Diceros bicornis minor: one gene and its partners. The main gene of each other region encodes a partner of the protein of the gene in region 3 in a complex. Links are inferred from orthologs where the notes say so. Each region holds a gene or a part of one and is shown on either strand. Other genes may lie near its edges. The genes, in order: SMARCA4, SMARCE1, ARID1A and SMARCB1.

What was found.
Region 1: ARID1A (region 3) and SMARCA4 share a complex: the UniProt entries of both Homo sapiens proteins name them as parts of the neuron-specific chromatin remodeling complex. The link is inferred for Diceros bicornis minor from reciprocal best matches to the Homo sapiens genes ARID1A and SMARCA4.
Region 2: ARID1A (region 3) and SMARCE1 share a complex: the UniProt entries of both Homo sapiens proteins name them as parts of the neuron-specific chromatin remodeling complex. The link is inferred for Diceros bicornis minor from reciprocal best matches to the Homo sapiens genes ARID1A and SMARCE1.
Region 4: ARID1A (region 3) and SMARCB1 share a complex: the UniProt entries of both Homo sapiens proteins name them as parts of the neuron-specific chromatin remodeling complex. The link is inferred for Diceros bicornis minor from reciprocal best matches to the Homo sapiens genes ARID1A and SMARCB1.

What each region holds. Positions count from the first base shown.
Region 1 is NC_080769.1:8,398,865-8,406,297, reverse strand, and holds the start of SMARCA4 (transcription activator BRG1), read left to right. Parts: upstream 1-4,424; 5' UTR 4,425-4,508; intron 4,509-7,433. UniProt on the Homo sapiens protein: ATPase involved in transcriptional activation and repression of select genes by chromatin remodeling (alteration of DNA-nucleosome topology).
Region 2 is NC_080757.1:40,093,447-40,101,415, reverse strand, and holds the start of SMARCE1 (SWI/SNF-related matrix-associated actin-dependent regulator of chromatin subfamily E member 1), read left to right. Parts: upstream 1-4,957; 5' UTR 4,958-5,061; intron 5,062-7,061; 5' UTR 7,062-7,106; coding exon 7,107-7,113; intron 7,114-7,288; coding exon 7,289-7,332; intron 7,333-7,969. UniProt on the Homo sapiens protein: Involved in transcriptional activation and repression of select genes by chromatin remodeling (alteration of DNA-nucleosome topology).
Region 3 is NC_080752.1:42,499,001-42,505,934, forward strand, and holds the start of ARID1A (AT-rich interactive domain-containing protein 1A), read left to right. Parts: upstream 1-3,934; 5' UTR 3,935-3,964; coding exon 3,965-5,098; intron 5,099-6,934. UniProt on the Homo sapiens protein: Involved in transcriptional activation and repression of select genes by chromatin remodeling (alteration of DNA-nucleosome topology).
Region 4 is NC_080774.1:29,771,597-29,778,916, reverse strand, and holds the start of SMARCB1 (SWI/SNF-related matrix-associated actin-dependent regulator of chromatin subfamily B member 1), read left to right. Parts: upstream 1-4,301; 5' UTR 4,302-4,421; coding exon 4,422-4,514; intron 4,515-7,320. Other genes in the region: MMP11 (stromelysin-3), read left to right, coding at 1-101, 218-434, 1,210-1,467, 2,412-2,545.

The DNA of each region.
Region 1 (7,433 bases), on a different chromosome or scaffold from region 3:
AGTCGCCGCCACATCATGGCCGCTGATGAGTGGTGTAGGTCCACGACCAGGAACCGAACCCAGGCCACCAAAGCGGAGCATGCTGAATTTAAGCACCAGGCCATGGGGCCAGACCTCTTGATGGTCTCTGCCTTTTATTCTTGGCAAGATGGGAGCCATTGGAGGGTTTTGAGCAAAAGAGGCACTTACTGAACTGAAATTTTAACTCCTATTAAATACCCAAGTGGTGGTGTCTGAGAGGCAGTTTTCAGGAGCTCAAGGGTAAGGTTCAGACAGGAGATAAATATTTAGAAATCATATAGATTTTCTAAAAAGTTAAGGTGAGATTCCTATAACATAAAATTAAATATTTTAAAATGAACAATTCAGTGATATTCAGTATGTTCACCATGTTGTGTAAGCACCACCTCTAGTTCCAAACTATTTTCATCATCAACCCTGTACCCATTAAGCAGTAACCTTCTGCCACCCTGAGCTCCTGGCAACCTGCTTTCCCTCTCTATGGATTTGCCTGTTCTGGACACTTGACTCACACAACATGTGGCCTTTTGTGTCTGACTTCATTTGCTTAGCATGTTTTTGAGGTTCATGCACACTGTAGCATGGATTAGGACTTCACTCCGTCACGGCTGAATATTCCACAGACTGTATAGACCCCAGTTAGTTTACCCAGCCATCTGTTGGTGGACATTTGGACGGTTTCAACCTTTGGCTATTACAAACAGTGCAGCAACAACGAACGTTTGTTTACAAGTATTTGTTCAAGTACCTGTTTCCAATCCTTTTGGGTAGAGACCTAGGATGCAGATGATTTTTTAAGGTCACCAGACTGGAAGCCACAGAGATGACTGCAGATAGGGGCCCCAGGCCTGAGCCCCAGGTTCATTACTGAGGGGTCAGTGTCAAGTGGAGAAAGCCGCAAAGGAGCCTGGGAAGGGGCTGATGAAGGGGGGGAAGAAGCCCAGGAGTGCGCGGTGCCCTGGAAGGCAAGTGAGGGGACCTGCTCTAAAGAGCGGACGTGTCAGCCGTCGCCAACAGGTCAAGGAAGGTGAAGAGGGGAACTGACCCTCGGATTCAGCGACAGGGAGGTCCCCACGACGTTGATGCGAGTCATTTCAGTGGCTAGGAAAGGCCCGAAAAGAGCAAGTTTAATGGAAATTAGAGGAGACCTAAATAAACAGAGAGACACCATGTTCATGGATTGGAAGACTTAATTTTGTTAAGATGGCCCCCAGATTGGTCTACAGATTCAATGCAATCCCAATCAAAATCTCATCACGGTTTTTGACAGAAATTGACAAGCTGATTCTAAAATTTACAAAGATGCAAAGGAACCAGAGCAGCCTAAACAACTAAAAAAAAAAAGAAGAAAGTTGGCAGACTACTTGATTTCAAGACTTATTATAAAGCTCCAGCAATGAAGACAGTGTGTTCCCAGCATAAGGGTAGACATATCGAGCAAGGAACAGAATAGAGTCCAGAAACAGACTCACACTTAACTAGTCAACTGGTTTTTGACAAAAGTGCCGGGGTAACTCAACGGGGAAGCAGACAGTCTGGAACAACTGGTGCTGGAACAACTGAATATCCCTGTGGAAAACACTGAACTTCAATCTTTCCTCACCCCATACACAAAAATTAACTCAAAATGTATCACAAACATAAACGTAAGTGCTAAAAGCATCGATTTTGCTTAAACTGGGATTTCAACATATAGCCACAGACCACTGGTCTACAGGATTATTCCCATCAGACTTTTTTTTTTTTTAATAATTTTTATTTATTTATTTTTTTCCCCCCAAAGCCCCAGGAGATAGTTGTATGTCATAGTTGCACATCCTTCTAGTTGCTGTATGTGGGACGTGGCCTCAGCATGGCCGGAGAAGCGATGCGTCGGTGCGCAGCCGGGATCCGAACCCGGGCCGCCAGCAGCGGAGTGCACGCACTTAACTGCTAAGCCACGGGGCCAGCCCCCCCATCAGACATCTTGTCCTTAAAACAGGACTCCGGATCCTTCCTTCCAGTTTCCACGTCCCCACTGTTCCAGCTGCAGAGAAAACTGGCGTTCACTCACGACCCTCCCTCTCCTTTCAGGTCCACTCCTTCGATTTCTATCCATTTGACCTCCACCTTCCTTCATTGCCTCCACTCTAGTGCACGTCACCCCCTCCACCCTGGGCCTCTGCGATGGCCCAAAGGGGCTCCCCACTTTCTCTCCTTCCCCGCCAGCCCGGTCTCCACCCTGCAGCCAGAGCCGCCATGGGATTCTCCTGATTACAGCCCTTCATCTGCTTCCTACCGCGCTCCAGGAAAAGCTCCAGATCCTCACCACAGCCCACAGGGCCCTGCCCGGCGGGGCTGCTGCTGACCCCCCTCAGAGCCACCCAGCCCTTTTTCTGTTCCTAGGCTCTTTTCCTCTTCAGGATCTTGGCGCACCCTGTTCCCTCTACCCAGCGCCCTCTCCCAAAGGAGAGGTCCTTTGGGTCTCAGCATAAATGCCTCTTCCTCAGTGAGGTCTAGCTGACTCCTCAGTCCCAGGAAGGTCTCATGTTATGATCTCACTGCGCCCTGGGCTTTTCTTCCACTGCACTTACATTTTCCTACCGTGTATTAGTGCGATCAACATGGGAGACAGTCAACTGAACTCATGGACTGCCTGCTCCACAGGCAGGAACCCAGCCTACTCAGTGCATCACTGCGGGCCCATGACCAGCTCAGTGCGCAGCACATCGAGGACGCTTAAGAAATATTACTTGAGCGAATGAGAGAGACAGAGGTTCAGATCCCATGTGCCCATCTGCTGCGCATTACTCAACACTAGGAGCTCAGGTTCAGAGAACTCCCAGGCGGCCTGCTTTCACGGATTCCTCGTAACCAGCCAGTGGAGGAGGGTGCCATTACTGTTTCCATTTCACAGGTGAAGAAAGGGACGCGTAGACGAGTCCAATAAACTTGCCTGGCAGCCCCCAGCTACCAACAATGGAGTCAAGTTTTAAATCCAGGTCTTGGACGCCTGCATGAGGTCTCACCTTCTGCTCTATACTGCAAGTGACTCACCTTGGACTTGGAAAGAGTCAACGAGCTGATGCAGGTACAGGACGCACTCAGCAGACAATCGGTCTCTATCATTCCTTCAATAAAAAAATTTCAAGTATCTAGTATGTGGTGAATGGGGGCACTACGCTAGATGCTGGTATTCCCTAGTGATTAAAACTGACAACAGCTTTGCCATTGACATTGAAGGGAGAAAGACAGTCACTCAAGAGGGTACCCAAGAAATGTGAAGGAAGGGGAAAAAGGAGGCAGTGATCAAACAGGACGCAGTGAGTCAGCTGGGACCTGAAAAATGAGGAAGGGCAGGCCCGCGAGCAGCAGGGGTAGCGACAGTCCCAGGGGGCGCGGCTGTCCGGCTGCGGGGCTAAAGATGACGCTGCGGACACTTTCAAATCACAGAGAAGAGGTTTGGAGGCTCAGGGCCTTCACACTTGCAACAAGGCTCTCTCTCGCACTGCTTTCCTGTCTAGACTCAAACGTCTTCGTCGCAGCGAGGCTCCCCTGGCTGCCCCATTTAAACCTCCCACAACCCTCACGTCCCCCTCTCAACACAACGCATTTTCCTTCTTTCTCTGGCCTGCCTCCCCCACCGGATCGTGAGCGCCGCAGCGGCTGAGGTTTTTCTGATTGCGGCCGCAGCACCTGCGCCTGGGCCACAGCAGCAGGTCCATAAATATTTGCTAAGCTAATTAATGGCATCCCGGAGGCTGTGCAGAAAAGGCGGCCGCGGTCGGGCCCCGCCTGGTCCCGCCGAATAGGCCTCAACATCCCCCACCAAGGGTGAAAGCGGCTCCCCGGCCCGCCCTGGGCCGCCCGTGCTCCTCCCCGGCCCAGCCTGCCCGCCGCCTGCCCTCGCGCCCAGCTTCCAGTCCTCACTTCCGAGCCTCAGGGCCCCTCGGCCATCCCTTCACTGCAGACCCCGCTGCCACCCAGCCCCATCCCCCAACCTCCCACCGCCACCGCCGCCGCCACACCACCGCCGCCACACCACCGCCGCAGTGCCGCCCGCTCTGCGCATGCTCCGCGGCGTGGGGACGCCCGGCGTGCGAAGGCGGAACACCCGGTGCGCAGGCGCAGGAGCATCCGGGACAGAGTCGGGAGGCGCGTCGGGCGCGCTGGCTCTCTCGGGCCCCGCCCACCTCCCCCCAGCGCCGAGCAGACGCGCACGCGCGCTGGGAGCGGAAGGGCTGGCGGGCGCGCGCACGAGGCCGGGCGGGCGGCGGAAGCGGGAGAGGCAGTCTGTGGGGGGGGAGGGGAGCCGGCGAGTGCGCGCGCAGCGGGGGCGCGGGCGGCGTGGGGGGGCGGCCGAGGCGGGCGCGCGCGCGAGGCTTACCCTCGCTCGGCGGCGGCGGCTTCTTTGTTTCGTGAGGAGACGCGAGACGCCCACTCTGCCCCTGGCCCCGCGCGGAGGGGCGGGGGCGGCGCCGGGAAGGCGACGGCGCCGGCAGCTCCCGGTAAGGAAGGCGGGCCGCGGGGGGAGCGCGGCGCGGGGCTGGGAGGGCGGTTTGAATGGAGCCGGGGCGCCGAGGGGGGAGGGGGCCGCCGGCGCCCAGAGCGGGGCCGGGGTACGGCGGCGCCCGAGGGTCAAGAAGCCTGGCCGGCACCGCGCGCGCGGGGCAGGCCACAGTGCAGCGAGGCCGCGGCGGCTGCAGTATCCGCGGGCCGGGGGGTGGGGGCCCGGGCCGCGTGGAGGCCGCGCGCCCCCCGTGCGCGCTCTCGCCGGGGGCGCCGGACAAAGCTCGCGGCCCCCTCGACTCGCCGGCCAGGGCCCAGCCCCCAGTCGCCGTCTCCGCCGCGGCTGCAACAATAGCCCGGCATCGGGGCTTTTCTGGCTACGTTGTAACGGGTCGGACCCGAACGTTGCCTTTTTGGCGAGGCCGCGATCGGGGTTCAGTAGGGAAACGCCAGACGTGTCCAGCATCAACTGGACACGAGCATGAGCTGCCCTGAAATTTTATTCTACAAAAGCCACATATTGTAGATTTTCAAGAAAAGAGAAGTAACTCCCCCAATCCCTTGCAAGAAGTGACTTCAGAATGTCTGCTCTGAAGTGGGGGGTCGGCAGCAAGTGGGGGAGGGCCGGGGGAACTGTTTGCTGTTGAAAGCATTGTTTTTAGTTTGCATCCTTTTCCCTTCCTCCCAAATGATTTTCCAGATTAAGACTGTAATTTAAAACGTGGATCTCTCGGGAGAGTGTTTTGTGCCGGTCTTCAAGACACCAGTCTTGATTTTTCTCCCCGGTGACTCCCTGGGGAAAGTAGGGAATAGTTGGAAGATCCGCTTCCTTGGAATTGGAGACAAGTTTTCAGTTTGAATTGATACCGGATTCGAGTTTGCTTCCATCACTTGGCTGTGTGACTTTAGGCAAATAGCTTAATCTCTCTGAACCTCTTGGTTTCCTGAAATGGGGATAATGCCACCAGTGGAGTTGGTGAAGGCCTGTAAAATGGTTCCTGGCAAGTGGGAAGCACCGTTGTTACTGTCTGGTCAATCTCCGTCCGTTGCTCAGCAATTATTTGTTGAGTCCCTACTGGGTGTCAGATGGTTGGGGGTTGGAGCCCTGTGGAGCCTTTCCAGTCTTGTAGGGGAACAGGCGATAGATGTGGGAACAAGTCCCCTTGGCCTATCATCTAATCCTCACAATCCTCGCTGTGAGAGGGACACAGTGGACGCCCAGGGAAGTAGTGGAACCAGAGATCAGGGAGGCTGCCTGGAAGAGGGGACCTTTGCCCAGAACCAGGGAAGATGTTCCAGCTTGTATGTGGACCACCCTGGACCACTCATTGTTCCCCTCTGCTGCACTCACACGTCGCCCTGTCCTTTCCCATGTGGAAGTTCCCCCAGTTTGTAATTACACAGCCATTCCTCTCTGAGGGCCATCAGAGCAGGGGTCAGGTCTCCCTGGCCTCCCGCAGTGTACCCTGGGCCCGGCACATGGAAGGCCCTTAGCGAACGTTGGTGCCATGAGCGAGGAGGGTCCTTGGGAGCACTGAGTGAACATGGGTGTGAAGAGCTCCATGCAGGACTGGGGCAGTGGGTTGTAAGCAATGAACGTTAGTTGCTGTTGTGGGTTTTTAACTTTCCAGGCCATTGTTTGCCAAACCTCCTTCCCCCGGGAATGGGGAGTGGGGCGGTGGTTAGTAGGAGTGGCGGTGGGGGTCCTAGTTCTAGAATCACACCTCAGGTTTACACCCAGCTCTAAATCCTGGCTTGACCTCCAGCAAGACACTTACCAGTAGGTCCCGCCATTGGTGAAACAGGTGTGACCCCCCTCAAACTATTGTGAGGGTTGAATGAGATAATCTGGAAAGTGGCTTAACACACTGCAGCGCCTGACATATAGTGAGCACTCAGTTTGTTGGAGTTAATATTGCTCATTATATGTATATATGTATGTATATTTCTAATTTTTGTTAAAATCAGTGCATACACATGGCTGGCCTGGTGGCATAGTGGTTGTTTGTGTGCTCTGCCTCAGCGGCCCGGGGTTCACTGGTTCAGATCCCAGGTGTGAACCTACACACCGCTCATCAAGCCATGCTGTGGCAGCATCCCACATACAAAATAGAGGAAGATGGGCACAGATGTTAGCTCAGGGCCAATCTTCCTCACCAAAAAAAAAAAAAATGCATACATAATTATGAAAATAATAAATGTTCCTCCATGTGCCCCCTAAAATCACTTTGTGTGCAACCCTTCAGGAGGCATTGATCTTTTAGGCTTTTGAGCCGGGGTGACAGCATCAGAGCTGTGGTGTGGGACAGTGACGTGGTTGCCACACTTTTTCTGTCAGTGAAAAGCACCCCAACATGTATGCACCTTTATTTATGTATCTTTGCCACTCCTTATGGATGCTCAAAATACTGAGAGGGAACCCTAGACCAGCTCTGTGTCTTAGCTGTTTATTGGCTGTGGGAGAGTGGGAGGAACTAGGTGTTTCTGGTGAATGTCTGGTGAGAACGACATTCCGCCGGTGAAGAAACTGAGGTCCAGGAATATTCCTTCACCAGGGGCTCTCCAGTCCACCGTCCAGGTTTGACCCCTGGTTTGGCCACTTTCCCTCGTGGTGCCTCAGAGAAATGGGGGTGACAGTGCCTGGCACATAGTAAGTCCTCAGATGTGCCGGCCAATTTTGGCCTCAGTCATCAGGGCTGCCCTGCACAATGGGACCCATTCACCTCAACCATAGCACACAACGTGAACGGCGCCCCCAGGAGGTGTGCAAGAAAGCGCTCAACCGCGCATTCCCCATTCATATAGGGAACAAGCATGCATCGAGTGCCCGCCATGAGCCCGGCACTGCTGGGGGCTGAGGATTCGGCCAGGACTGGGCAGACAAGGGCCCTGTTCTCATTTGCTCATATCCATCTCCTTATTTG
Region 2 (7,969 bases), on a different chromosome or scaffold from region 3:
GGGACATAAAATTTTAGATTTTCTTTCAATTACTTGGGATTCCTTTTAGCCTGGCTTTTTCTATTTAGTGAAAGGGATGATTTTGTTCTGTCAAGGATCTAACAGCATGTTAAGTGCTTATTCTTGTGTGAGCATCTGACCTAAAATACATCCTATACATAAAAGTGTTTTCATTCGATATTAGTTAAATGCTACTAACTTTATTAAAGCTTTGAAAAATGCAATCATATAAGCTACTGTACTAAAGTTACTGTACTAAGCAACTGTAATCATAATAAAACAATATATCTAGTGTAATCTTTTTGCAGTCTTAAAAACTTACTACGGGGCATCATGAATGTAACTGCTTGTTAAGTAACTCCACTATGCAGCTATTGTGTGTATAACATGAACATTTTACAATACAGTTCTTGAATTTATAACAAAGTTTTATTTGCTTTGGGGCGTTTTAAATCGGGATATGAATTTACCAAAGTAAATGATACCACTACAATAAAAAAAAACTTCAAACATGAACTCTAAAGCTGCATTGTATTTGAGTTTGATACACTGTACTGAGTTTCAATGTTCCACTATGATTAGCTCACTTGGGGAATGAAGAAAACTGCAACCACAGTGGAGAGAGAATGGTTTTTATACTTTTTTTTTAGAAAAAAAAAATCAAGAATGGTATATTCTAGGGGCCGACCCGGTGGTGTAGTGGTTTTAAGTTCACACGCTCCACTTCGGCAGCCTGGGGTTTGCAAGTTCGGATCCTGGGCGCAGACCTACATGCTGCTCATCAAGCCACGCTGTGGCAGCGTCCCACATACAAGATAGAGGAAGACTGGCACAGACGTTAGCTCAGGGACAATCTTCCTCAAACAAAAAGAGGAAGATGGGCAACAGATGTTAGCTCAGGGTCAAACTTCCTCACACACACAAAACAAATAGAATGGTATATTCTAACAAATGGTAAATTCTAATTAAAAAATCAAAATAAAAACAATCCCATAATCCTGGGGAAAGTATAATAACAGTAGCCACCATTTGCAAAATGCTGACTCTGCTCCTAGCACTGTACTCAGCAACCTCGTACATAATCTTTAATCCTTACAACAATCCTACAAGATGCATAATATTATCCTTATTTTATGGATGAATAGAAAATATTCTTCAATCTCTCTGGAATAGTTCAACAAATGCATGCTTCCATAACAAAAAACAAAAATAAAGACTAATTCAAAGTACTAACAATTGTAGGATCCCAGCCTTGGAGCCGTCACTAATTACCCATGTAACCAGGAAGGAATCCCTTAAATTCCCTAGGCCTCAATTTTCACACTTGAATACAAGGGGAAAGGTGGTGGTTGGTAATAGTCCCCACCCTTCCCACCTCACAGAGTTGTTTGAAATACATACATGTGAATATATTTGGCAAAGTACTACTCAAATATACAGTACTATTTGGATAAAAATCATCACTGGGAGAGAAGAATTTGTGAGGACAATTATAGCTGACAATGATTAAGTAATAGCTCAAAACACAAGGGGGGAAGAGAATTTTTTTAACCCTTCAGTTACCGCCAGAAGAATTATTCTTTCCCAGTGAGTTACCCAATTTGAACTATTCTACCACAGTAGTTTTTTAAAGTACAAAAATGTTCTCTAACGTCAAAAAATGCTTAAATTAATTTGAAAGTTTCAAATGGAAATGCATTATGAGACATGGATCAATATTAAACTTTAGTGAAATAATATGCATACACACATTACTCAAATTATCTAAACATGAAATCAAAGGAAAGTTTGTGCACAGGGCAGAATTTGGTTCTATGTTTACAAATTATGGCCAGCATGTACACACAGATTGCCAATATTTATGAACAGAATACAAATAAACATTGTGAAATAAGGTATATGTGCAAATCACTACAAGCTTTTTCCAGTTCCTCTCACACACTTAAAACCCTACACCCAGGTTGTCAAACTTTTTCTGTGAAAACCCACATAGCAAATATTTTAGGCTTTTCAGGCCACATGATCCCTGCAGCAACTACATATACTATTCTGCCCTTGTGGCTGAAAGCAGCTAATACATAAATAATACATAAATAAATGGCCATGGCTGTGTTCTAATAAAACTACAAAAACAGGAGGCAGCCCAGATCTGGCCTGCAGCTTTAGTTTGCTGACACATGCCCTAGATCCTCAAATAAGATCTGTGGATGACAGATCATACCCCAAATTCTCCAGGACCATCCTGTTTTCAAACACTTTCATCCTTTTCCACGTGTCCCAAATCCTCAAGGTATTTAGAAGGTAACACAGAGGTTGTAAAAGCAAACCATACTTTGTCAAATTCTACAAAACATTGTGAATCCACTCTGCCCTGGAAATCTGCTGGGCTTCGATATTTCACAACCATTTCTAGCAATAGAACTGAATACCCATAACTTCTGCTTTCACAGAAACAGCTGAGAAAATCAGCCTATTCCACCATTTTGCCTACAACCAGACTTTTAGAGGCTATTCAGCTCAGCCAGAGTTCTGTCCTGTCTTTCCCTATTTTAAGGGAAAAAAATTCATTTCAGAAAGCTTCTTTAGAACACACTACAGAAAACTGCATGGCTCAGTGGTTGGTTCAAAATCTTTCTTGAGTCAAGACCTCTTCGAAAATCTGTTAAAGTACTAACCCTCTATCTGGGGGGGGGGGGGGGGGGAAGCACATAAAAATTGTGTACAATTTTAAAGGGTTCATAGACCTCCTAGAGCCAATTCATGGACTACTAGGTGTCCAAGGACTGTGGGTTTTTCCTTGTTGTCTCCCATTTTCTCCTTTTTCTCCTTCCCTCACAGGGATGGTTCTCTTTCCACCCCTAATTCCATCTCACTCCCCAGCTTCTTCCCACAGTACTATGGAAAGAAATCAAAGAGACCTGGGCTTGAATCCTAGCTTAATCACTTACTAGTTTTGGCTTCCCTGTTTTGGAGGAAGGAGAACCTCAAGGAAGTATGAGTACTGTCAGAGAGGAAAGCAGGTCAACTTCCTGGATCTCGCTGCCAGGAAGGAAACTAAACTCCCTGGGTCTAAGACTATCTCTGCAGTTCACAGCAAGGCCCCTGTGAGGGCTCCCAACAACCTTGAGAGTTACATATCATTTAAATAGTCATATTAAGGAGGCATCCCATATTTTCCAGGAATAAGCACTGTTCCAAAAGTCTGTCCTGTGGTTCCCATCAACATCCCTGTACATGCAAGATCATATGTTCTGACGTTTGCTTGGGGAAAAAACAAACTAATAACTCAGACATTTCACTCTGCAGTCTTAATTTCTTCAGGACTAGGGAAGAGGTTTTTTTCCGTATTATATTTTGCCTCTTTTCTTCCTTTCTTAATTTTGCAAATCTTTGGGAGTGAAGAACCAAAGGGAGGAAAATGAGATGGCCATTCATTTACTCATTCCACAAATATTGAGCACCTGAATGTACCACGCACTGTTTCAGAGGTCAAAAATCCCCACCCTCAAAGAGCTTTCATTCTGATGGAAAGAAAAAGACAACAAAACAAATACATAATAAATATACTACATTGGGTGGTAAGTGCTACAGAAAAAACAAAGCACAGACCACGAATCGAGTGGAGGTTGGAGAATGAGTTGCAATTTTAAATAGGTCAGCAACGACCTACCGAGGTGACATTTGAGTAAAGACCAGGAGGTGAGAAAGTGCATCAATGTCACTGCTTCACTCAGATCTCCTCCTTTCCTTTTTCACCATTTTTGTGCCACGCCTTTCTCACTACAGTGAGCTTTGTTCCTAACATCCAGCACCTGCGGCTTTTCTTCAAGAGGACTGCCTAGAGATGACACAAGGGAGCATCTGCCCCTGCACCTCACGTGCCCAATGCTCCACCATAACCTCAAAGGCAAGGAAGAAACCAGGCTGTAGGTGCTGGACAAGGCAGGAGAAAGAAGGTCCTGGGATCCCTGCTGAGGCCTTCGTGTATCTTACATTAATCCTTTCCGTCTCTGATGCTTTTATATTAAAAAAAGCACTTTCATGTACATTATCTCAAGCACCACTCAAGCTGCCTGTTATCCTTGGATGACCTCTCTTTTAGTCTTTCCCTTCACTATGCTCTTCAATTTCACTAATCTCTATTCATGAGTATACAACGAATGGGGTAGAGACTACTATCAAGTTATCAAAGAACCGTGCGAGTTCAGGGGAAGGATTGGGGGGCGAGCGGGGATGGAGTGAGTTTAAGCTGAAAGTGGGGGACAGTCGTTCCCGGGGAGGGAACCGAATGAGCCCAGGCCGCGCTGGGCGGAGACCAGTGTCGCCAGGGCCCACCACCCGGGCCAAGGGGATTGACACCTCTGGGCCTTGGCTCAGAAGCCTGTGGCAAGGACCCCACACTCGCGGTTGCAAAACCTGAAAAAGTGCGTGTCGCTTTTCGCCAAGGATAATGCCGGCCGGTTCCGGCAGGACGTCCTGCAAGGCGCTGGTGGAGGCGAAAAACCCGCCAGCCGGGTCCTCCACGACTCCATGCCCGGCTTTCTCAGGGCGAAAGAGGAAAGAAAGGGACCAGGGGGGAAACAAACAAAACCCGCGGGGCGGGCGCGGAGCGTGGCCGAGTGGCGCGGGCCGCGAGGCCGCAGTGGTTCCGGGGCCTCAGGTCGGGGCGACCCCGCCGTCTTCCGGGCCCGCGCGCGGCTCCCACGGCCCCTCGGCGCGTCCCCCGCCGGCGCTTCAGCCCCTCACGGCCGCCGCACCCGGGCCCATCCCGCGGTCGGGCCTCTCCGCCCTCGCCGCCGTGACGAATCGGCGCCGCCCGGGAAGGTACCGCATTCGGGAGGTTTGAGGAACGTATGGGGCCTGAAAAAAATCCTTGGCCGTAGGAAGCCTCACCGCGTCCTCAATAGAAAGTTTATTTTTCTAAAGAGAGTCGGGGGGACCCGGAGAGACATTCAGCCGAGTGTTGAAAGTGCGAGTGCGGAAGCTCCGCCGCGAGGGGCGGGGCCTGCGAGGGACAAAGGGAAGCGAGGCTGGAGCTGCGGGCGCGTTTTCTGCCCGCGGGTGAGTGTTTCCAACCGGGCTTGGCCGGGTCGGGGGGTGGGGGGGACGGGTGGCAAGTCGCGGTGTCCCGGCTCGGCTGGACCCCGAGCTCCCGGGGTTTGCTGGGGTTCAGGCTTGGCCGCGGGGCCAGAGCTGGGGGCCGCTTGCGGCCTCCTTGAGGCCTAGCGGAGCGAGGGTTGGGAGGGAGTCCCATCTGGGGCCCCTCCTTGGCGGCAAGATTTGCCCCTTCCACTAACGCCGCGGAACTGGTCAGAGCACCTGTGCATACCCCCCTTTGGTGGAGTTGCTGGTGAAGTGTAGCCTCCACGACAAACCTAATGGAAAGGATCTCAGAGGAAGCGCCTGGGACTAGCCAAGCCCGTGGTCCTCACCCCCAGGAAGGTGGTTTCCCCTTGGTTCAGGCAGAGACCCGAGGGCTCGCGGTGTGGCTTCGAGGGAAGAGCGAAAGCTCTGCAACCATTTGGCCTGGGTTTAAAACCCAGCTCTGGCACTTCCTGGCAGTGTGTCTTTAGACAAGTTACTTAAACTCGCCGAGACTCTCTTGTTTCATCCGTAAATAGGAGTGGCAGTACATATCTCCGTGGTAGTTGTGACTGTCAGACGAGGTAGTGTAGGTAATAAGCCTGTCCCGTGTAAGGGACTCAACAAATGCTTATCTAGTATTTTATGCCAGGCGCCGAGGATGGATCCACTGGTGGGTAAATGTACAAGCCCACCCTTAAGAATTTATAGTACAGCGAAGGAGAGCAATTATTTTAAAGCGTTAAACAATGAAGTGTGACGTATTAAGGATCTTGTGGCGGACATTGTCAGGGCTTCCCCACAGCAAGGCCAACGGGGTGTTGACAGCTCCCTGAATGTGCAGATTTCCACTAGAATCAATGGTTTCTGCCCGTTCCTTAAGGAAAGAGGGCCCAGGTTGGGCCACTGAGAAAATAAACTGTTTCTTTCCACAGCAGGCCTCTTATTCCTTATGCTCCAGGGAAGTCTCTTAAAATGCAACATAGAGGCAAAAAAATTCTGTTTGTTTCACATAATGTTGGATGAAAGTGCCAGTAGTCATAGAAGTTATTTGCCTTTTTTCTAAAAATGAATGTCTCTTTGTACGCACTGTGTGTGATGTATATTGATGTAAGCTCATGTGGGTACGGTCATGTTATGAACTGGTAAATACTAGGACAAAATTTATGAAGAATTGAGCTAGGTCCTGGGACTACAGTAATCAATTAAATTGTTGCTGTTCCCAGGCAGCGTACGATCTAGCCATATGAACAGGTATAATACGATATAGTAAACAATATCATAGACCTATGTAAATTGAGTAGGTGTACAGATGAGGAAGCAATTAATTTTGCCCAGGTAGTTTATCAAGAAAGCTCCATTGAGTAGATATATTTTGAAATGGACTATGAAGGCTTTGTAAGAGTTTTTCAGGTAGACTCTCAAAATTTATTCCCAGCAGTTACAAAGCTGTTTACCTCTATAAGAGAATGTAAAGGGCATTATCATACCAATTACCTTTTGCACTACCTCCAGGAATCAAATACTGCTCCATTTAATAGGAGTTGTTATTCTAAAAGGAAGGTAGAGCTGCTGCTGAGTGGGGGCTGTCGGTATCTGGTAGGCCTTGTTGGAGTGGGCCCTGATAATACGTCATTCTGTTGTCATTAAATTTTTATCAGTCTGGTTAAATGTTTACATGGCATCCATAAAATGTTTTCCGTACAAGAGGTGGCTCAGTATCATAAGAAAAACTTGAAAGTACGTGTCTAATATTACTTTTAATATCCCCAGTAATTTTAGTCATTTAATTCTGTTGAACCAAATGACCTAAAGAATTACTAAAATATGCAAATACTTGATTACTAGAAGACAATGTAAAGTAATTTTACTAAGAAATACCACTTATAAACTACCCTATTCTTTAGGAAAACATTCTCTTATGCTTGCTGAGTTTTGATTCTCATTTTTTTTCTTTTTTTTTCTTTTTTTTATTTTAGTGTCTCAGATTCATTCTTAAGGAACTGAGAACTTAATCTTCCAAAATGTCAAGTAAGTTTCATTTTTTATATTTATCAACCTATATTAATAAGAAACTAATGCCCTAGCAAATGGGAATTCCAAAATACTCTCATTTTTTTTCTTCAAAACAGGACCATTGGTAGTTTTGTTGCATAGTATTATATCTCAGTTGTTTACAAGAAGTTATTTATTTTCTTTCAAACAGAAAGACCATCTTATGCCCCACCTCCCACCCCAGCTCCTGCAACAGTAAGTTTTAATTTTCTTGTTAATGTAATAGCCAAGTCTGGCCTTGATACAAAAACCCAGATGTCTTCCAGTGACAGTCACTCAGTCATCACAGCAACAGGATGAAAAACTCAGCTAAAAAACAGCACTTCCTACTAAATAAAATAACTCTGCATCTTACCTTGACCAACCCCAACATTTAAAGAAACATACTGCTGAAATGCCAACCTCCTGCTCAGTTCTTTTTTTAATGGGAAATAAGGGAGAAGTTAACACTTCTTTCTTATTGATCTCCGTTAAGAGTCTTTCAGGTTGATATTGAATGAATACTCATTCTGGCATTTATTATTATTTTTAAACCTAACCTTCAACTGGTTACATTTTTCTCTCCTTGTCTATATATAATTTTCGTGTTAAACAATAAAGCTTCCAGTTCTAGAATAACACTCATTGTAAATCTTTATTTTCAAGCTGTTCAAGTAAGGATTTCATTATCTGTGGGTCAGATCCTGCTATTGAATTTTATTCCACTCCATAAATAATATTCTATTGGTTTGGGAATTGATATGTTTCAAAGCATCTAAATAATAGTTGTCAACTAGTTTTTTACCCAGCAAGCTCTGGCCCAGCTTGGTCAGCATGTAAAATACTTGTCCAA
Region 3 (6,934 bases):
CAGATGGTAGTGCTAGACTTTCACACTGCTCCCAAAGCCTCCGCTGGGGCTGTTTCTGAACACGGAGTTACAAACTTTAAGACGGAAATCCAGACGGAAATCCACGCCAGGCTTTGAACTCTGCTTCTGGCTTCCGTCAACTGACATAGTTGCCCTTTTGCTCAAACTCGCAGCTCCGGTTCGCACTCGGGAGAGCTCTGCTGGGTGTCTGCTGCTTTGCCGCGGCGGGGACGCGTGTGGGGGCCACAACTCGGCGCTCCTCCGATCCCCCGCGCCTTAGTTCAGAACCAAGGCAAACCCTCACTGGGTCCTGGGCTTCAAACGTCTTCCACTAAAGGGAGTGGGGAAAGGAAGGAGCCCGGAGGAGCCCAGCCCGATCTTTTGTTTGTTTGTTGAGTTTTGTATTTCGGACACCTAAGGAAAGCAAACTGCGAGAGAGGAAGGGCTATCCTCCCTGCAAACGTTGCCCTCTCTTAGCAAACCTTCTAGGCCTTGGTTCCACATTTTGTAGTTGACTGCATGGATTTTAATAGGCTATTCCCTTATTTTCGGGCCCAATCCATGCACACTGTGCAGCGGGATAAAATGAGGCACATCCTCTGCCATTTTCAGTCGGTTTGTCCTGGCAGCCCTGCCCCCCTCCTTGGCTGCGGCCGCCGCCGCGGGAGTTAATGCTGCGCGCACAAACTCCGCCTGGTGCTCCGGACCGGAGATCCAGTCCACGTTTGCCAAGTGCCGTGCGGTCGGGGACGGTGATAAGAACTCTCCAGTGAGGGAGCGAGCGAGACTTTAGTCCGGTTTCCATGTCAACGATTCAGTCCATATTTGCCATCAGGCTGTTGGTGGCAGAGGCGCTTTCGTGAGGGTAGCGCTGTCCTAGTCCTAGTTCTCCAATCTGCGCCGGGATTCCTTAGCTGCCTGGGTGTGGGGTTAAAAAGGCAGGGGCCTTGGGGGAGAAAACTCCACCAAAGGGAGGACCCACAGCCCCAAACTCGAAGCTCGGGCCAGCCACGTGCCCAGCTCCTCCCCTCCCCCCTTTCCCGCTGCCACTGCCTCTAGGGAAAGCTGATGAGCCGGTTTCTAAGAAAGTTCCCTTCAACTCGGCAGTCCCCGGGATAGTGGTGTGGGGCTCTAAAGGTAGGGGTGGAAGAGGACCCTAAAGGATTTGAGATTAAAAAAACAAAATGAGAAAGGAGAAATCCCACATTACCTCTTCCAACCCAAGTGGATAGATTTTTGTGCACTCTGCCTTATTGCTAGAGAAAAATGGTGGCTGTTTTCAAAACAGGGTGCCCACGTGTAGGAAAGGGATTTGGGCAAATCCAAATTTCACAGCCAGTGAAGAAGGGAGATGAGGGCTTCCTCTGGAGACAAATCCATTATGGCTTCCAGATTTTCAGTGGGCTCCAGGTTTCCCATTACACTCCAGCTCTGAGGAAAATGGCAGGGTAATTGCATGTAAAAAATTCCTCATTTGTGTGCAGGACTCAAGACTGTTTGCCAGCTCAGAGGCAGTTGATTAAATAGCCAAGCTCCATTTATGAGGCAGCCTATAATTTGGTTTCTAGGACCTAATGCACTGGGAGAGTTGTTGCCTCTGAGGACTGTGAGTGAAACGAGGGCACTGGCCCATTCCAGTCAGTCAGACCCTGGTAGGCCGGTTTGGTTTTTGGCTTGGGGAAAAAAAAACACTCAGATCAACAGGAAGGTTATGCCTTTTTAGTGTCAGATGCTCTTAAATTTTCTTGAGGGTAGGAATGAGTCCAGATTTTTGGAATTATTCACTGTGACCAGTGGGATGGCCAGAACTCCAGGGGCCTGCAGAATCTGGAAGTTCTAAGATAATGGTTCTATGGCAATAAAGTCTCCATTTTATAAAATCTAAGGGGAAAGGAGGCCCTGGTGTCTAGTGACTACACTGGCCTGGGCCTCTCCCAAGGCAGCCTTCGGCCTGATGAGGAGCTGGAATCCCCTCTGGCTTTTGTAGCCTGTCATGTCAGAGCATTCCAAATCAGCCTGAGGAGGAAAAGGCTGTTGCTGGGATTTGGTGGGGCCTGTAGATCTGGAGTTTTCTTATGTATGCCTCCAGCTCAATCAGCATCTCTTAGAGTGTAATGGTAAACTCTGAAGAATCTTTAAGCTGGAGGACAGAAAACAAATTTGGGTTGCATCCATTTTCTAAGTGACCTGTTAGACTGCCCCTTTTCTCTCTTTAAAGAGAAAATGGTTTACCTCGGTTTGGCCATCCCTCTTCTGCAGTGGTCCCTTTGAACACTCAGGTTCCTCCAGTCCTGGGAGCCTTTTCTGTGGTCTGTTTATAGTCTTACAGGTACTATCTTTGGAGACTGGGGCTATTGTTCATTGTGGGCTAAGTTCTCTTAGGAGGCAAAGATGGAGCTTGGGTTCTTCTGCTAGAAGGCTGTCATATGCCCCCAAAGTAGCTTCAGTGGCAACTATTTCAAGTCAGTGTTGAGATGACCAGCTTTGATCTCAAACCCATTCTGATACTCTTATCCCATTGTTGGATATGGCACAATCCACAAAGTGGATTGACCACTTTTTTTTTTTAAAGCTAAGTGGACAAGGGCAGCTTTGGGGATTCTGCTACTTTTTAAAGCCGCCCTCTGACTTTAAGTGACAGGGCAGTCCTCTCCTCTCTGTTTATTAATTCTGTAAAATGGGTATATTCAGACCTCATGCCCCCAGGGCCTTGTGAGGACAGGCTAATGAGGGCAGGGGAGTGGGAAAATGGAAAGTCTGAACAATGATCTGTCATTCCATTCGGCTTGCCAAGGGGGTACAACGTAAGGCCCCACTTTGCTCACTCAGCTGGGTCTTTAGAGCGGGTTTCTAAAAGGCTTTGAAGAAGAAAAGTGCTGTAGAGGTGCTAAGAAGCAGCCAAGAGACCAGGCCCGCTGCCAGGGGGTCAGGCCTGGGCCGAGGCGGCCGCGGTCTCGGGCTCAGGCCAATTTTGCAGCCGCGAGTAAAGTTCACGCCGCCCGCTCCTCTCAGTGCGGCCTGGAGGGGACCGACCCGGATAGGAACGCCAGGAGGGAGGCGGCGCAGGCTCCGGAGACGCGCGAGCTCCGGGCCGGGTTTTCCCCGAAGCCTTCGGCGGCGGCGCTGCCGAGCGAAAGCGGCAGAGGGCCTGCCGCCGCCGCGGCTCGTTCTCTCCCCTCCTCCTTTGTGAGGGGAAGGGAGCGAGTCCGTTCCACGGCCTGCGCCCGCTCCGCACTCCGTTCCGGGTTTGCCAGGCGGCCGCGACGGCGCTGGGTAAAATGGCAGTGCTGAGCCTCGTGTCGGAGTGAGGGGGACTCGGAGGAGAGTGGGGCGCTCTAGCCGCTCAGTCCGGCCGCCCGCCCGCTCGCCCGCCCGCTGCCGCGCAGCAGCCTCGGCCGGCGCCGCGGCCGGGGAGGGGAGGCAGGGCGTCCGGTCCAGCCTGCGCTCCGACTCTGCCTCCCGGCACCCGGGCTGCTGCCGCGCGCCCTCCAGCCCGCCCGTCCCGGGTCCCCCTCCCCCCGCTCCCTCCCTCCCTCCCCGCCCCCTCCCCCTCGCCTCCCTCCCTCCCTCCCTCCTCCTTTCTCCGGCAGCAGAAAGCGGAGAGTCACAGCGGGGCCAGGCCCTGGGGAGCGGAGCCTCCACCGCCCCCCTCATTCCCAGGCAAGGGCTTGGGGGGAATGAGCCGGGAGAGCCGGGTCCCGAGCCTACAGAGCCGGGAGCAGCTGAGCCGCCGGCGCCTCGGCCGCCGCCGCCTCCTCCTCCTCCGCCGCCGCCAGCCCGGAGCCTGAGCCGGCGGGGCGGGGGGGAGAGGAGCGAGCGAGCGCAGCGCAGCAGCGGAGCCCCGCGAGGCCCGCCCGGGCGGGTGGGGAGGGCAGCCCGGGGGACTCAGCCCCGGGGCGGGGTGGGAGGGGGGGAGAAGACGAAGACAGGGCCGGGTCTCTCCGCGGACGAGACAGCGGGGATCATGGCCGCGCAGGTCGCCCCCGCCGCCGCCAGCAGCCTGGGCAACCCGCCGCCGCCGCCCTCGGAGCTGAAGAAAGCGGAGCAGCAGCAGCGGGAGGAGGCAGGGGGCGAGGCGGCGGCGGCAGCGGCCGAGCGCGGGGAAATGAAGGCAGCCGCCGGGCAGGAAAGCGAGGGCCCCGCCGTGGGGCCGCCGCAGCCGCTGGGAAAGGAGCTGCAGGACGGGGCCGAGAGCAATGGGGGTGGCGGCGGCGGCGGAGCCGGAGGCGGCGGCGGGCCCGGCGCGGAGCCGGACCTGAAGAACTCGAACGGGAACGCGGGCCCTAGGCCCGCCCTGAACAATAACCTCACGGAGCCGCCCGGCGGCGGCGGTGGCGGCAGCAGTGATGGGGTGGGGGCGCCTCCTCACTCAGCCGCGGCCGCCTTGCCGCCCCCAGCCTACGGCTTCGGGCAACCCTACGGCCGGAGCCCGTCTGCCGTCGCCGCCGCGGCGGCCGCCGTCTTCCACCAACAACATGGCGGACAACAAAGCCCTGGCCTGGCAGCGCTGCAGAGCGGCGGCGGCGGGGGCTTGGAGCCCTACGCGGGGCCCCAGCAGAACTCGCACGACCACGGCTTCCCCAACCACCAGTACAACTCCTACTACCCCAACCGCAGCGCCTACCCCCCGCCCCCCCAGGCCTACGCGCTGAGCTCCCCGAGAGGTGGCACTCCGGGCTCCGGCGCGGCGGCGGCCGCCGGCTCCAAGCCGCCTCCCTCCTCCAGCGCCTCCGCCTCCTCGTCGTCGTCGTCCTTCGCTCAGCAGCGCTTCGGGGCCATGGGGGGAGGCGGCCCCTCCGCGGCCGGCGGGGGAAACCCCCAGCCCACGGCTACCCCCACCCTCAACCAACTGCTCACGTCGCCCAGCTCAGCCCGGGGCTACCAGGGCTACCCCGGGGGCGACTACGGCGGCGGGCCCCAGGACGGGGGCGCCGGCAAAGGCCCGGCGGACATGGCCTCGCAGTGCTGGGGGGCTGCTGCTGCGGCGGCGGCGGCGGCGGCAGCCGCCTCGGGAGGGGCCCAACAAAGGAGCCACCACGCGCCCATGAGCCCCGGGAGCAGCGGCGGCGGGGGCCAGCCGCTCGCCCGGACCCCGCAGGTACACAGCTGAGTGGGGGAGGGGGCTGGGGCGAGCGGGGTCCTGGGAGTGGGTGGCGGCTGCGGAGAGCAGGCCGCAGCCGTGGGCTACCCCTAGTCCGGGGCCCCCATTACTGGGGAGCTGCCATTGTCTGGCTCTTCTCTCTTAAAATGGCTGCCTGTCTGCCTTCCTCTCCTTCTCTCCTTCAGCCTTTGTGTGGGGCTTTCCCTGAGGTGTCTGCTCCCCTTCTCCCTCTCCCCTGGTCCCTCCGAACTCCGAGGATCTTCAAGGGGGTGCGGGGCAGAGTGTGCGGGGAAGGGTCCTGCCTGGGGTGAGGGGGTTCTGGGGGCTTAGGCTAGGGGTGTAGGCAGTGGTAGGAGCTCGGAAGTTGAGTGAACAGTTCTTTGCTCACCTGCCGTTCCTCTCTGCCCCCCCTGCCTTCCTCTAGGCCGTCCCCCATCTGTGCTTTCAAGGAGGGGCCCCTCGGGCTCGAGGGGACCTCGAAGGAGGGCAGGGGCCTGCTTGGGGGCAGCTAGAGGCCGGCTGCGGTTCACCCGGGGCAGCCCGGGCCATCTCTTGTCTTAGTCTCCGTCGGCCCAGTGGCCTGGGCTTCTCCCTGGAAGTGCTGGTAAACAGCTGAGTGATTGGAGTAGTAAGTGCAGATTGCTTTGGTTTGGGATTTGAATTATGGAGGTAAAATCCTTCTGTCAAAGCCAGGAGACAGTTGGTCTTAGGTTGACATCCTATCTGTGATCTGATTGGCTCCCCATCTCCTGCTCTTGGCCATTTATAATTGCCTCTGATGTAATGGTACAACAATCCTGATGAGCTCATAAACTTTTACACTCTGCTTTTCTGCCAGTGATAACCCAAACCATCGCTGCCACTATCTGCCTTTTATTCCAGAACTGAAATTGGCTGTGACCTTGAGGAGGGAGGTTTAAGCAGCAATACTGTATCAGCAGGAGCAGAGCCCTAGACAGGCTGCCCTTGTTACATTGTGCCCGAAACAAAAGAGGAGGCAGTGGCATTTTGCGTGTACCTTGGATTTATTTTGCTTGTTATGTTTTATGCAGCCTGAAATAGATTCTGTGTTGTCAGAACAGTAGCTGAGTTTTTCTCTACAATGGGTTTGCTGTTTGTTTTGGTTTTGTGACTTTCCTGATAGTATAAATGACTTCTTTGATAGCTCTGAAGATGCATTTGTCTTGAGTAATTTTGACCCTGTTGGCTTTGCAGAATTGAAATTATTTTACTGGGCTGTTTATTGAGTGGCAAACTAGGATCTTTATGAGAGGGGATAGGGGAATTTTTTTTTTTTTTTTTTGAGAACTGTAAGTTTTCTGAGAGAGATTTCTTATTAGGTTCAAGTGTTTTAAGGATGGCTGGTCTCATTCTTTAGGTGTTGAATCTTGTTAACACTTTTCTTTTGTTAACTGAACTTTGGGAGAGCAGCTCAATTTAAAGGGAAGCTAACATCTTTCATGATCTTGAGAGGGACTTTCTCCTAAAGCCTTGGTTTGGTGAAATTTGTCCTTTGTTCCTGGAATATCAAAAAGGCCAATTTTCTTTTTTGTCATCAGTCGTTTTAAAGCTTTGAAATAGAGGTTGACCAGTTTTTCTCTCTGCATTTTAAAGTATGTTCCGTTTTTTTCTATCTTCCAAGATAGTAAACGTACATTTTACAATGACACTAAAGATTTGCTTAGAAATGACAACTTTTAGGTATGTTTTTATGCATTCTATCTTACTGTTGTTTTGCTCTTCTTCCGTCTTCATTGTTTTCTGTCTTCAGTGCTTTGGTCAGGAATATTGGGTGGTCTATGGAGTCATGTAACTTTTCAAAGAGGTAAAAAA
Region 4 (7,320 bases), on a different chromosome or scaffold from region 3:
TCCAGCACCTATATGGCCGGCCTCGGCCAGCCCCCACCTCCAGGCCCCCGGCCCTGGGCCCCCAGGCTGGGGTGGACACCAATGAGATTGCTCCACTGGAGGTGAGGCCCAGGAGGGTGGGAAGACCGGAGGTGAGGCCCTGGTCCCAGCTCCCTCAGCCCGCTAGGCTCTGTGGCTCCAACGTGGGCTCTTTCCTGGCCCTTCTCTCCCACCCCAGCCGGAAGCCCCACCAGATGCCTGTGAGGTCTCCTTTGACGCAGTCTCCACCATCCGCGGCGAGCTCTTCTTCTTCAAGGCAGGCTTCGTGTGGCGGCTGCGTGGGGGCCGGCTACAGCCTGGCTACCCTGCGCTGGCCTCTCGCCACTGGCAGGGACTGCCCAGCCCCGTGGACGCAGCCTTCGAGGATGCCCAGGGCCACATTTGGTTCTTCCAAGGTGAGTGGGAGTTGGGGGTCATGCTCAGGAGACTTCCGGGAGCCAGGAACGGTATGGCCAAGGGTAGGGACAGACAGACAGACGTGATGGGCAGATGGTGGGTGCCCCGAAGCCTTGGGGCCAAGGGAGAGTGTGGCTCACTCCTCTGGGCACAGCTAGGGGGCTCGCGGAGGCGGCGGCTCTTGAGGTGGGAATAGGGTAGAAGGTATTGCACGTGGCCTGTGTATTGGTGCAGTCAGCCCTCAAAGGCACCCCGTGGAGTGGGCAGGATTATGAACCCTGGTCTAGAGATGAGGCCTCCGGGGCTCTGAGGTGAAGTGACTCACCTGAGGGCACAGCTGGGAAAAGGCAGAAGTGGGATGTGACCTAGGTCTGGAGAGCCTAGAGCCTGTTCCGTTAACTTGCAGCTGGCAGAGACGAGAGCCTGGAGCATTCGAGGTGGCAGGGATTTCATAAACAAAGGCCCAGCCAGGGTGGTCAGCTGGCACTTGTCATGGGCAGCCACATGCCAGGGGAAGAAGTGGGAGGCCAGGCAGCCTCTCTGCTTAGAATAACCTTTCCCGCGGGCACCTCTCCGCGTCTGCACCACTCACCTTACCCCGCGGCTCCAACTGCCCTCTGGCGTGGGGTGCTGAGCAGGCATTCCTGGCCTTTGTGTTTGACAGACAAGGGACTGAGGCTGGGAAAGTCTGTGGCGGTGGTGGCGGCTGGGCAGGTCTGCGGTGGCTGGGCATGGCAGTTGGGCAGCTCCGTTGCAGCCTCCCCCCTCTGGCAGGCGCTCGGTACTGGGTGTATGACGGCGAGAAGCCAGTCCTGGGTCCTGCACCCCTCTCTGAGCTGGGCCTGCTGGGGTCCCCAGTCCACGCCGCCTTGGTCTGGGGCCCCGAGAAGAACAAGATCTACTTCTTCTGCGGCGGAGACTATTGGCGCTTCCACCCCAGCACGCGCCGTGTGGACAGCCCTGTGCCCCGCCGAGTCACCGACTGGCGAGGGGTGCCCTCTGAGATCGATGCCACCTTCCAGGATGCTGACGGTGTGTTGAGGGTGGCATGGCTGGTGGAAGTGGTGGCTGGGCATCAGCTCCTCATCACAGGTCCTTTGTCCAGTGCCCTCCCTATCCCCTGTCCTCCTGCCAGGGCAGTGCTATACCCCCGTGCTGCAGATGAGGAGATGAGGGCCAGAGAGGTACTAGGACTTGCCAGGGCCCTGGGTCATAGCTGGTCAAATAATAACCGCTGCACACAGAGGACCCACGATGCTCCAGGCACAGCACCAAGCTCCTTACACGTCTCATGCAATTCTCAGATGTAGCACCTGTTATGAATCCAGTTTCCAGAGGAACAAAGAGAGGTTCAGGCAATGAGGTCCCTAACCGGGGCCGTCCAGGTAGATGGTGGGGAGCCAGGCCCCCCACCTAGGCAGTCCCTGCTACTAACCACTGAATCACCCAGCCTGCAGTCTCGAAGGACTAGATTGGGAACTTGCAGTCCAGTACCCTCTCCTGTGCCCCCACCCCCACTTTGCTTCTGTGCCTTCCCACATCAGAACCCACTGGGAGCGCTGTCCTGTGGTGGCCTTGGGCTCTGGGGCTCCAGGTTGCCCTTATCATCCACCTTGACTCAAGATGCCCATCTGTAGTTTTGGCTGTGGGTGCGGGAGTAGAGTGACTTGGGGAGGGGGGGAGTGACGAGAGAGACTTGCTTTCCTGAGAGGTAGGAGTTGAGCCTCTGAGGCTCCTGGCATTTGTTAGGCTGGGTGGTAGCTCAGACCAGACTCTGGGGGCAGGCGAAAGGGTTCCTCCGAGGGAAGGGAGGTTCTAGAAGGGCCACCGTGGGGCCTGCAGTTTTCAAGAAACTCAGCAGCGGCCAAGGCCTGCCCACCCGGACCGCCCCCTGTGCCCATCCCTGGGCACAGCCTGAGGGGCGGGCGTGGGGCCCAGTGTCCACTTGCCCAGGCCTGACTCGCCTCTCTACTCAGGCTATGCCTACTTCCTGCGTGGCCGCCTCTACTGGAAGTTTGACCCAGTGAAGGTGAAGGCCCTGGAGGGCTTCCCCCGCCTTGTGGGCCCCGACTTCTTCGGCTGTACCGAACCTGCCAACACTTTCCGCTAACCAGCGTGGATGCCCTCAGGGCTCCTGACCCCTGCCAGGCCACTGACATCAGCTAGAAACCTGTGGCCATCTTTGTGGCTGTGGGCCCCAGGCATGGGACGGAGCCCATGTCTCCTCAGGGGGGTGGGGAGGGGGTGCTGCCACCATGACAACTGCAGGGAAGGCCACGCGGGTCGTGGTCATCTGCCAGCGACTGTCTCAGACTGGGAAAGAGGCTTTGGTGTTAATTAAGGGTGAGGGTGGTTCAGGTCGGCTCTGCCCTACCTCGTGCAGGTCACGGTCAAACCGGCCACCCTCAGTCTCCATCCCTGTCCCTCAGCAGGGCTGGGGGAGCTGGAGCCCTCACTGGTTGGTGATCCTGGAGATCTGCTCCCCAGGATCCAGGCCAAAAGGTCCACAGTCGGCTGGGGAAGAGGGGTGCTTCCTGCCAGAGACCCCAGGCCCTGGAGGCCCCAACATACCTCAATCCTCATCCCAGCACTGGGACCCTCCAAAGCCATGTAAATGTCTGTAGTGTGTACAAAGCCTTTTTTTTTTTTTTTTTAAACTAAGGACTGTCATTAAACATGGTCATTTTCTACCTGCTTGCCTGGGGTCTCTCTGTGACTGCAAGGCCAGGACGGAGAAGGGGTTGGGCCAGGAAGGTGGGAGGCCTGGCTTGGGACCTCCTCTGTCCTGGGAGCCAGGGTCACAGCCCATCCCACCCGCAAGCCTCTGGTCCTTGGGGCTGGGTGCAATGCTTGGGGCTCCTCCCGCTCCATTCCTCCATCACATCTCACTAGATGCCTGTAGTGGCTTTGAAATTGGTTCCCTGTTTCCCCGCTTGCCCCTCTGATCATGCTCCACTAAGTGGTGGTCGTTTTATCTGATCATGCCACGTCCCAGCCACCATCCTAAACTCCTGTTTCCCAATGCTCTTGGGACACAGAACAAAACTCATGGTTGCCACGGCCAACCCTTCCTAACTCTCCAGTGTCTCCTTGCCCACCACCCAGCCCGACGTGTATCTTCTTCATAGTGGCACCTATCACAGCTGCAATTCTATTAGACTTGAACCATGTGAAATTGTTAGCAGTGGGCCGTTGCTGACCTACTGCATCGTTCACTGGATACATGGATGCTCTGATGCTTTCATTAGCGTCAGTCCCCGCTCCGAGCTTTGGGTGCCACAGGGCAGGGCTGGCCAGTTTCACCGCACAGTTGGGCTTGTTGTAGGCACAAAGCACAGTCAAGAAAGGAATGAGGAGGTTCCCTCCTCTGCAACACTCATCTGGTGCACCAGCCAAACCAAATACCACCTGGGCCTGGAAATCCTGCCAGGCCCCACCCAGGGTTGTCATTCTGCCCATCCCCACAGCAGCAGGAACAGCTGTGAGCCCGGAACTGCAGTATCTGTTCCTAGGAGCCCTCTCATCTACTCAGCAGCACTGCATTCCCGGGTGGGGAAACTGAGACATGGGTAGCTCGGGCCTCCTCCCGCCTTCAGGCCTCATTTCATTCTTCTTCCACTGGGCTGAGTTCCAGTCCCAGCTGTGAGACTGCGAAAGCCACCGCCTGAGTCAGGGCCTCGGTTACTATTTCTGCCCGCGAGAAGTTTCCCTCGGTACCTCGACTCGGGAGGCGGCCTGGGAGGAATAGACACGGATCGAGGCTCCTTTAAGGGGCCCGCGGGGGCGCGCCTCGGCCTTTTGTTTGGGCGACGGCGGCGCGCGCGTCAGCGTCAAAGGCCGCGCATGCGCACTGAGGGCGGTCTGGTCGTCGTCTGTGGCTGCCGCTGAGGAGCTCAGCTGCGGCGCGAGCCCCCGGCCTGTTCTTTGCCTCGGTGTGCCCTCTCAGTCTCGCTGCCCGGCCTCGGCCCCCTGCCTCCGCCACCGCAATGATGATGATGGCGCTGAGCAAGACCTTCGGGCAGAAGCCTGTCAAGTTCCAGTTGGAGGACGACGGCGAGTTCTACATGATCGGCTCTGAGGTAGCCCGCGGCACCTCCTCGCCCTTCTCGGCCCCGGGGTCGCGGGAGCCTCAGAGCAGGCCTGCGCGCCGGGAACGCCCGTTTCCATTCATCGCGGCGGGGGGGGGGGCGGGGGGGGAGGTGGACGCGAAGCGCTGGGGGCGTGGTCGGGAGGGCGTGGTCAGCGAGCCCCCGCCCCCCCGCCCTGGCGGTCCGGGATAGGTTAGCAATTTCGCGGTGGTGGGGACGCGCCCCGCTACCAGGGCTGGGGCTCCCCGAGGGGCACCGGATCCCGCTGAGTGGGTAGCACTCGGGTTAGACCCTGAGCGCTTCTGGGGGGCATGTTGGGAATCTCACACGCGCCGCTACTCCATTGCTACCTATGGGATCCTGAAATAGCCGGCTGGAAGCGTGGGCTCAGTGAGGGCTCATCCCGTTGTGTTGCCTTTGAGGTGGACTTTGAGGAGGTGTTTTGACCTTTGTTTACCCGTTAGGAAATGGGTGGCGAGGAGGATGCTTGCTTTTGGTTCGATAAGGCCCCAGGCTACCAGCTAGCTCTATCAGCAATTCGGGAGCAAGTGCCACTTTGGATGTCTTGAACTTACTCAGAATTATGAGGAGGGAAAGATCCTAAAGGTCTTTTATCTTTGACTAGAAGTGACAGCACTTTGTCGAATCAGCTGGATGACTGACTTTAGGAACACCCTACACCTGGTCCTTCAGTGGGAATTTGTACTATGTATATTAAGTTTTTCCAGAGTGCCTCAAACTAACCCTTTCTGGTCTAAAGGCAGTCCTCAGACAGTGTATATTCCTTTTTTAAAAAAATGTTGGATATACGGTTCAGATGTGCAGATACTGAGCAGTGGAGTCTGTCTAGGTTAACGAGGCAAGTGCCGATCCTGGAGAGCTAAAGTAGGTACAAGATGCCCAGGGCTGTCTCTCCTTGTAGCAGTTTTCAGTATCAGACGCCAACATTTCATTACTGTTTTTACAGTTTTTGGGTTTTTTCTTCACAGTTGAACATAATGTGAGTGAAGCAAGCCCCATGATGGTCACAGTAGGCTTTCAGGACACCCTGTGATTCCTGGCTTGTCTTAGTTGTATCGAGTTGTGAGACCACTGTTGTCAGGAGCATCTTTAGTGTTTCCATTTTTCACTAATTTTTATAAAACAAAAAGGACAGGATGCAGTAACATTTTCAAGTTATCACATAAGTGCTGCTCTTCAGACATACCTGTGCTGGGGAAATGGAGCCAGTGCCTGTCCATCTGCCACAGCTCACATGGTCCTCATTGGCCTACTGGTCGGCACCTGCCTAAATGCAGGATAGGAGTTTCGGTATGTGATAGTGGGCAGGTTGTTTAAAGAAACCTTTACCTGATCTAGTGGGCAGGAAGAGCAGTCAGTTTGGCCTTTGAGTGGGTGGTACTTTTGAAAAGCAAGCCTTCATTTATTAGGTGGAGCAAATTGAGAGAAGAAGCACATGGCCAGATGGGGAGAACGTTGGGAGGCCTGGTTCCAGCACTGCTTGGCCTCCCAGTCACTTTTCTTATGTGTATAATGAGATGTTTAGACTAGATGGTCTCTAAGATCTTCCCCATAACACATTTTAGTTTCTAGAAAACTAACTACGGTCTTCTCTTTCAGCCCTCTTGAGTGAGAACAATTGACCTGAGACCCAGTCTGTAGAGACCCAGGGGGGAGAGGGGGGCGGTGGTTTGCTCTCTCAGACCTGGCTTGACGATCGTCAGACCTTTGGAGGTCTGGGAAGGGTTCAAGATCAGGATACTGTCTACTGATATCCAGCAGCTCCTGTGACAGCATTGAGTGGATGGCCACCAGGCCCCTTCCCCTTGGGAAACAAGCACCATATTCAGAGAGGTGGGCCGGCGAGAGCAACACATCCAGTGCCCCCATGCCAGTCCTCGGAACAGCCTTGGGAGGGCGTCTGCAGTCACAGGGAATGTGTGTCACTGTTCTCCGCCATCTGCAGGCAGCTGTGTTCCCCGAGCCAGAGTCACAGAGCTGAGAGGACTTGAAGAAATGCCCAGGTCCACTCCTACATTTTACATTTGGGAAACCTGAGTCCAGAGAGGGCGAAGGCTGGTTCAGGGAAAACCCAGGAAGGCAAGCCCCGCTCCCCTAAATTCTGAACGATTCTTGGGAAGGGTCTAGGAGTCCTGGAGCCCTGTAGTACCTGCAGGGTAGAGGTGGGGGCATTATTGTCAACGTCTTCGTGAAAACCTAATGGAAACTGGACATTTGCCCTCGGATGGTAATGGCATTCAAGCCAAATAACGTGAGGAGACTGTGCCTATTGTGTGGAGCACGAGTGACTGGCTGTGGCTGCCTTTTGTCGCTCTGTTCAGCAGCTCTGGTTGCCAGTTATATAAATCTTTGATTCATGAAAAATGGAGAAACATTTTTATTTAATAAATATACTATGCTGGATAGGTAAATGGGGAGATAATAGAAGTGGTTCTTCCTGGGCCAAAGTTCAGAGTTGCTGAGCATTTGGCAGATGAGTAAGGAGACCCAGAAAAGGAAAGTAATTCCCAGTCACAGGTGGAGCCAGCATCTGGCACCCAGTCGGCTGACTGTCCCTGCCGTAAAACTCAAATGATCATTTTTTTTGTGTGTGTGAGGAAGGCCAGCCCTGAGCTAATATCCTATGCCAATCCTCCTCTTTTTGCTGAGGAAGATCGGCCCTGGGCTAACATCCGTGCCCATCTTCCTCTGCTTTATATGGGATGCTGCTAGAGCATGGCTTGATGAGCGGTGCGTCGGTGTGCGCCAGGGATCCGAACCAGCGAACCCTCAGGCT